Oryctolagus cuniculus: one gene and its partner. The protein of the gene in region 2 binds, or shares a complex with, the protein of the main gene of each other region. Links are inferred from orthologs where the notes say so. Each region holds a gene or a part of one and is shown on either strand. Other genes may lie near its edges.

Region 1 (2,939 bases), on a different chromosome or scaffold from region 2:
ACATTTGTTTGTTTAAGAGGCAGAGTGATGGTGAGAGGCGGGGGTGAGGGGGAAGAGATCTACCATTTGCAGGTTTACTCCCCAAATGCTCCAAAGAGCTGGGGCTGGCCGGGCCAAGCCAGGAGCTCCAGGAGTCTCTCAAGTGGATGGCAGGAACCCTGGGCGTGGCTATCATCTGCTGCCTTCCAGGCTCATTAGCAGGAAGCTGGATAGGAAGAAGTAGAGGCAGGACTTGATCCCAGGCTCTCCAGTAGGAGATACAGGCATTCCAAGCATAATCTGTGTAACACCAGCCCCTACATTTGTATTTTTTTAAAAGATTTTATTTATTTATTTGAGAGGCAGAGTTACAGACAGTGAGAGGGAGAAACAGAGAGAAAGGTCTTCCTTCCGTTGGCTCACTCCCCAGATGGCCACAACAACCAGAGCTGTGCCGATCCGAATCCAGGAACCAGGTGCCTCCTCCCGGTCTCCCATGGGGTGCAGGGGCCAAGCATCCAGGCCATCCTCCACTGCTTTCCCAGGCCATAGCAGAGAGCTGGATCAGAAGAGGGGCAGCTGGGACTAGAACCAGTGCCCATACGGGATGCCGGCGCCACAGGCAGAAGATTAACCCACTGTGCCACAGGACTGGCCCCCCCACAATCTTTTAATAAAGGACAATAAAAATCAAATCACAGACAACTGTTAGAGGATTTCGTTTTTGTTTTTTTAATTTTAGTGTAAAACAAATCAGCTCAGGGTGTTTTCCTGAATAAATGATCCCATGGTCTTTTCTGCAGCATTTGCCTCATGTCTGCTCAGTCACATAAAACACGGAAAACACTGGGTGGGGACAGTCTTTCACATTGTTGCTTGCAATTCCCAAGTGGTCAGTATCTTTATTTTCACTTCTGGGTAAGAGAAAAGGCATTTTGGTCCATTAATTCACCTACTCGCTCCTGGAGGACGTTAACCAACTCTGCTATTACGAAGACATGGGTGTCATCAATGTCTTGAATGATGAACTTCTTCCCTAGGGCATTGGATTCATCCAAGTACAGCAGAAACTGCTTCATGGCAGGATCGCTGCAGAGATAAACACACGTTGTAAGATATCTTGTCAAATCACACCGCAGAGACTGAGAAATTAAATTTGGGTACATGTTAAGTCTTGGGATGATTTTTAAAATTCTGAACTATTAATCCCTCACTTCTCTCTACCTCAAATGTTAAGGATTTAGACACAGCCTTATTTTAGAACTCTTAGTGCAAGTTTGAGAGAGAGACCATGGTCAGGGTGGCATCCGCTATCATAGAGCTAGTTCGAGTCCTGGCTGCCCTGCTTCTGACGCAGCTTATTGCTAATGTGCCTGGGAAGGCAGTGAGGACAGCCCAAGTACTTGGGCCCGTGCCACCCATGTGGGAGACTAGAATGGAGTTCCTGGCTCCTGGCTTGGGCCTGACCCAGATCTAGCTGTTGCAGCCACTTGGGGACACACCAGGGGATGAAGATTTCTCAGTCTTTTCTTCCCTGTTACTCTGCCTTACAAATAAGTTAAATATATTTTAAAAGAAAATTTAAAAAAAAAGGTAAAAGAATATTCAAAAGCTTTGTAGTTAATAAGGCCTAGAATCATAGCTTCTTTAATTGAATTAAAAATGAATTTCCTTACTTCCGCAGGACCATTACATTTAAAAAACCAATAGTTGTTTAGTATCTTGCCAGTGATAAAACTGGCTAAATGGACACTCTAGTAAGCTAATGGCGTATGGCAAGAGTCAGATGTGAATTCAGCTCCTTCACGACAAACTTGTGTGACCTTCGTATGAACTATCCCTCAGAGTCTTTGAAGGCTCAAAGAGATCTCCATTCAATTCTATTTTCTTGTGGTTCTTACTCTGAACGAACACAGTAGTTCCAAGACAAAGAGATATCTCCCTCTTGGTGGGCAATATAGATTAAAAGCCCATGTCTCACAGTAGGGTGCTTAGCAAAAGAACATACACTTCAAACACAGATTTTTATAATTCTCAGAGGAAACACAATCTTTTGATGTTCCAAGGAATGTCAATATCAATTGTAAAGATAACAGTGTAATTCTCTGAAAATAAAAAAATCAGCTTTCTTTCTTTCAAGTGAAAACACTGATACTGAGTGAAGTTAACAACATAAGGGGTTATTTCAACCGCTAGATGAGTACAGGCTTGGAGGTAGTTCACGGAGTGACATGATTTAACTTCCAAACTGAAGACTTTAAAATGCAGGGATCCTGCTGACTGCTGGGTAAGAAAAGACAGAGTGGCGGGGCCAGGTGTTAACAGGGAGACCAACTGGTGGCTGCAGTGATCCAGGTAAGACATGATAATGATGTGGACTTGGCTGTATGAGTGGAGACTGAATTCTAGTATACTGATGTAAAGCCAACACTTGGCTGAGCTTTGAAAGGCAGGAATCAAGGAGACGCTGAGATTTTGGTGTGAACAAATGTGAGGATGGAGTTGTCTTTTACTGAGAGGGGAGAAATGTGGGCAGAAAAGGTTTGCAGTTAAGACCAGGAGTTTGTTGGGGGCTGGTGCTGCGGCACAAGCCTCCGCCTGCAGTGCCGGCATCCATACAGATGCTGGTTTGAGTCCCGGCTGCTCCATTTCCACCGCAGTTCCCTGCTAATGTGCCTGGGAAAGCAGTGGAAAATGGGCCAAGTGCATGGGCCCCTGCACCCATGTGGGAGACCTAGAAGAAGCTCTTGGCTTCAGATCAGCCCAGCTCTGGCCATTGTGGTCATTTGAGGATGGAGCCAATGGATGGAAGACTGCTCTCTCTGTAACTCTGCCTCTCAAATAAATAAAATCTTAACAAACAAACTCAAATCCAAGAGTTTGGTTATAAGCATGTCGTATTTGAGATGTCTACTGCCACCAAGGGGAAAAAGCTGAGTAAGAAGTTGGATGTGAAATTC
Region 2 (4,318 bases):
GACAGCAAACACACTGCTACATTCTGTACCAAAGACACTGGAAATTTCACAAACATCTCATGACACAGTGATTTCCAAGGAATTTATTTAATTAGACTTTCAGAGGGCTCTAAAAATCTGCATTTTTCACAAAGACCCCAGATGATTCTAGGTTCTGCTTGCAAGCATAGTTTAAGAAAGTAATTTTAACCTTCATTTGTGTCACATTACATAAACAATAAAATTAAATTATAAGTCATGTAATCTAACTTCTTTACATTAAAAGATACCTAAATACAATATGGTTCAAAATGAAATCATACGTAGTTCAAAAAGATGCTAAACCAAAAGCCATACAACAATGAGAAACATTAACAGCAAATGCAAGTACAAATGAAGATATTCCTCTGAATGCACATTTCAACGCGCATCAAAGACCACCACTGTATTCATCTGAGTTAAGGAAAAAAAAAATGTAGTTGAAAATTACAGAAAAAGACTGAAGACTTCCAAATCACTTTACATGTGCAACAAGCTAGTTTGTTAATTTAAAATGCACAAAGACCTGGAATTCACTATTTATTACAACAACTAGATATAAAGTAAATAAAAGCTTTCAATTTTTATTAGCACTTTTCCCAACCAATGAAAAAAAACCCAATGTATCAAAAAGCACTGAATGCTAAAGGTAATAACTTGTGATTTTAAAAAAGTTATGTTAGAAAATTACAACTCACTCTCAGTGTTTAGTCTCATGTGTTGGCTCCACTTTTTCCTACTAAGTAGCATACACAATATTTGTATTACTCCTTGTATAATTTATTTGTCAAGCTGAACAATCAGTTCTTATGTAAATACAGAATCTCTGGAAAATAAACTTATGAGAATCAAAATCAACTAGTATTTCAATTATTTAGTGCTTCAGTTCTTGTCTATGAAAAATGCTAATAATATCTCTTTAATTAATCCAAAGTTCTTACGGTTTCTACCAGAAGTAGTGTCTATCAACCCCTGCATCACTCTACAGTTGGCTCCTACCTCAGATTTTAAAAGTAGAGTTAAAGGATACATCTTTTTGTCCTTTTCTTGTACATTATTCTGTATCCACATTCTCTGCATCTGATTGGATCCCTGGATTTTATTTCATTTTCAGTGTGACATTCTAGGGAGAAAAAAAAAAAAAAGGCTTACTCAAATTTAAAAGGAAAACAGTGCAGACAGGCAAATTATCTTAACCATATCAGGCAAGGGTATGATATTACAAAATATACTAAATGGGAAAGAAGAGAGTTGTGGGCAATGCTGTTTTTCCAGAGCAAATAAGAGTTTTAAGTGGTGCTACGAGGCGCTCCTTTATAACTTTAAACACCAATGACTCATTCATTCAAAGGATAAATGTAATAATTTCAAAAACAAATTAAGCAAAATACTCTTACTTTATGTAGCGTTATCCTTACCTCCACAAATATATATCATTGGCTGCTGCTTTGGGGGCTGAACGTCTTTCTGGGCGTCCATTGTCAGTCCCTGCAAACACAGAATCAAATCCTCAGTATTTCAAAGGGGTTCCTCACAAACCCGAACAGCCCTCCCTCCCCTTGTTTTTTCAGGAAAAACTGAAAGAGATCCCAGTTCCCCCTCATCTGCGCTCTTCTCCGTGCCTGGGAGTTAGGTCTAAGGGGCAAACCACACAGACACACACAAGTACTGAGAGTCGACCCCAAACTGGGCACGACAGAAAATGATCCGCATTTTGTTCCTTCATTATAATCTTCACAACAACCCTCAAGTGTCACTCCTGTTTTATACACGAAGAAAGCGAGGCTGAGAGATACTAGTTTGCGCAGGCAAAAGGATTCAGATTCGGCTCAAAACTCGAGTTCTCATCTAACACATGAATATCCCTCCAAAACGGAACAGACTAACCGCCGGGAAGAATACTAAAATAATTCCCAATGGCTAAACAGCTCAACTAAAAGAAACCAGGCAAAGCACTGACGGCACCAACTCCTCCACCAGCATCTCCTGACTCTAACCTCGCACTGGACCTTCTTAGCCCCCAAGTGTCTTTCTGGTTTGGCTCAAATACCCACACCTAAACCCCAGCCCCATAACTCCTTACCTGCGTAGAACGGAGAAACTCCGCATCTGCTCCCAACACGCAGTGTCGCTGTCAACTTCCGGCGCTGGCTTGTGACGCAAGACGAGCACCGCCCCTTCCGCCCCGGCCCGGCCCGGAAACCGAGTTTGCGCAAGACTCTAAAACTAGTTTCTTGCTCGCAACGGACTCTGTGGACATCAAGCACATTTTTTAACACTTAGCTATTCTCATTTTTCAGGAAAGAAAATCATTTTAACAGTTCTTCAAAGGAAGTTTGTATTTCTGACTCGTGAGATTGGCGGAAATGAACGCTTTTCCGGAAGGACCGAGACTAAGAGGGACGGAGGTGACAAGTGCCGGTGGAATCCTGAACGCGCCGTTCCTCTGATGACTTAGACTCGGTTAACCAGTGATTTTTTTTTTTTTTTTTTTTGTTACCCCGTAGAAAAGCACATTCTAGGCTGTTTTCAGGTTGTTGGGTACCTGTGCTGGGGCTGTGTGCCAGCCGCCTCCCGTCCTTGTCATGCTTGATCGTGTTTTTGCTCTCCAGCCCTTTGCTTCTCCCTCGCCTCCACGCCTGTTACTCGTTTTACAGTGCAGGCGCACCTGCGGGGCAGCGCCCTCGACACCTCGCACTTAAAGCTAAAGGATTTTGGTAGCTTTAGCGGTTCACTGGCCCTCCCTTGGTCCCATGTATTCCTAGGAGAAAAAAAAAAAAAAAAAAAAAAGACGTGCTTGTGGGAGTTGCATTCTTTCAAAGAATATTCAGTGGCATAAATGCCGATTAGATTCGAACATTTACATTCATTTACTTCTTTCACAAAAGATATTTTACTTAGAATAGAAGCAGAGCTAAGAAAATGAAATTATTACAACTTTATAGAAATAATTAAAGATTTATTTATTTGAAAGTCAGAGTTACACAGAGAGAGGAGAGGCAGAACCAGAGAGAGAGGGGACTTCCATCTGATGGTTCACTCTCCAATTCGCAGCAACGGCCGGAGCTGCCCGATCTTAAGCCAGGAGCCAGGAGCTTCTTCCTGGTCTCCCATGTGGGTGCAGGGGCCCAAGGACTTGGGCCATCCTCCACTGCTTTCCCGGGCCATAGCAGAGAGCTGGATCAGAAGAGGAGCAGCCAGGACTAGAACCGGCGCCCACATGGGCTGCTGGCGCTTCAGGCCGGGGGTTAACCTGCTGCGCCACGGCTCTGGCCCCAGAAATAATTGTTAACAGTTATTATAAAGTTAATTGTAGAAGCAGGCTTGCTTCCCCCACATGCACTGTGTCTTTGGTATCTTATTAAGTAGGACTCCATCCATCAACTTGAGAACTTTAGCTTCACCTTTCATTTCCAGAAGTTAAAACTGTGTGGTTGCATCTCCACAAACCAACTTGAGACATTCAACTGGGATTTCCCTGTCTTTCCAGGGGGCAGGAGTTTGGCCTAGCCCAGCTCCACTTCTCAATTCCAGCTTCCTGCTGATGGCCGTCCTGGGAGGCAGCAGTTTCTGGCTCAAGTACTTGATTCCCTCCCACCCACATGGGAGAACTGGATTAAGTGACTGGCTCCTGATTTCAACCAGGGCTGTTGTGTGCATTTGGGGAGCGAGCCAGCTGATTCACTCTCTGCCTCTGTGCCTCTGTAATAAAATAATAGTATTAGGGCCAGCATTGCAGTGTGGCAGGTAGGGCCACTGCCTGTGACATCAGCATCCCATATGGGCAGTGGTTCAAGTCTCAACTACTTCTCTTCCAATCCCACTCCCTGCTAGTATGCCTGGGAAGGCAGCAGAGGATGGCCAACTGTTTGGGCCCCTGCACACACGTGTCAGATCCAGAGGAGGCTCCTGACTCCTGGCTTTGGTCTGGCCAAGTCCTGGCCAGTGAGGCCATTTGGGGAGTGAACCAGTGGATGGAAGACACCTCTCTCTCTCTCTCTCTCTCTGCCTTTCAAATAAATAAACATTTTTAAATGGAGATTTTCACATAAAAAATCAAATATTTTTGGGGAAACAGCAATTTCCTGCTTCTTCCTCCACAAACATGCTAACACAGCATACATATGACCATCACCCCTGTTACAATCAAAGAGAAGCAGTCATTCAATACACGAGTCGCAATAGGCTTCTGTACGAGATGTATAGACAAAGTCATTATCTTAGGATAAAGATGAGAGAGTGGTTCTAGAACTGCAACTCGTTTCAAGCTGTCTTGTTTTCTAACAGCAATCAAAGTATC

The links.
Region 1: POLR2K (region 2) and GTF2H5 share a complex: the UniProt entries of both Homo sapiens proteins name them as parts of the TBP-based Pol II pre-initiation complex. The link is inferred for Oryctolagus cuniculus from reciprocal best matches to the Homo sapiens genes POLR2K and GTF2H5.

What each region holds. Positions count from the first base shown.
Region 1 is NC_091436.1:9,572,377-9,575,315, forward strand, and holds the end of GTF2H5 (general transcription factor IIH subunit 5), read right to left. Parts: intron 1,069-2,939; coding exon 888-1,068; 3' UTR 688-887; downstream 1-687. UniProt on the Homo sapiens protein: Component of the general transcription and DNA repair factor IIH (TFIIH) core complex, which is involved in general and transcription-coupled nucleotide excision repair (NER) of damaged DNA and, when complexed to CAK, in RNA transcription by RNA polymerase II.
Region 2 is NC_091437.1:125,592,215-125,596,532, reverse strand, and holds POLR2K (DNA-directed RNA polymerases I, II, and III subunit RPABC4), read right to left. Parts: upstream 2,805-4,318; 5' UTR 2,102-2,804; intron 1,507-2,101; 5' UTR 1,498-1,506; coding exon 1,437-1,497; intron 1,142-1,436; coding exon 1,049-1,141; exon of another isoform or gene 1,018-1,048; intron 423-1,017; coding exon 400-422; 3' UTR 69-399; downstream 1-68. UniProt on the Homo sapiens protein: DNA-dependent RNA polymerase catalyzes the transcription of DNA into RNA using the four ribonucleoside triphosphates as substrates.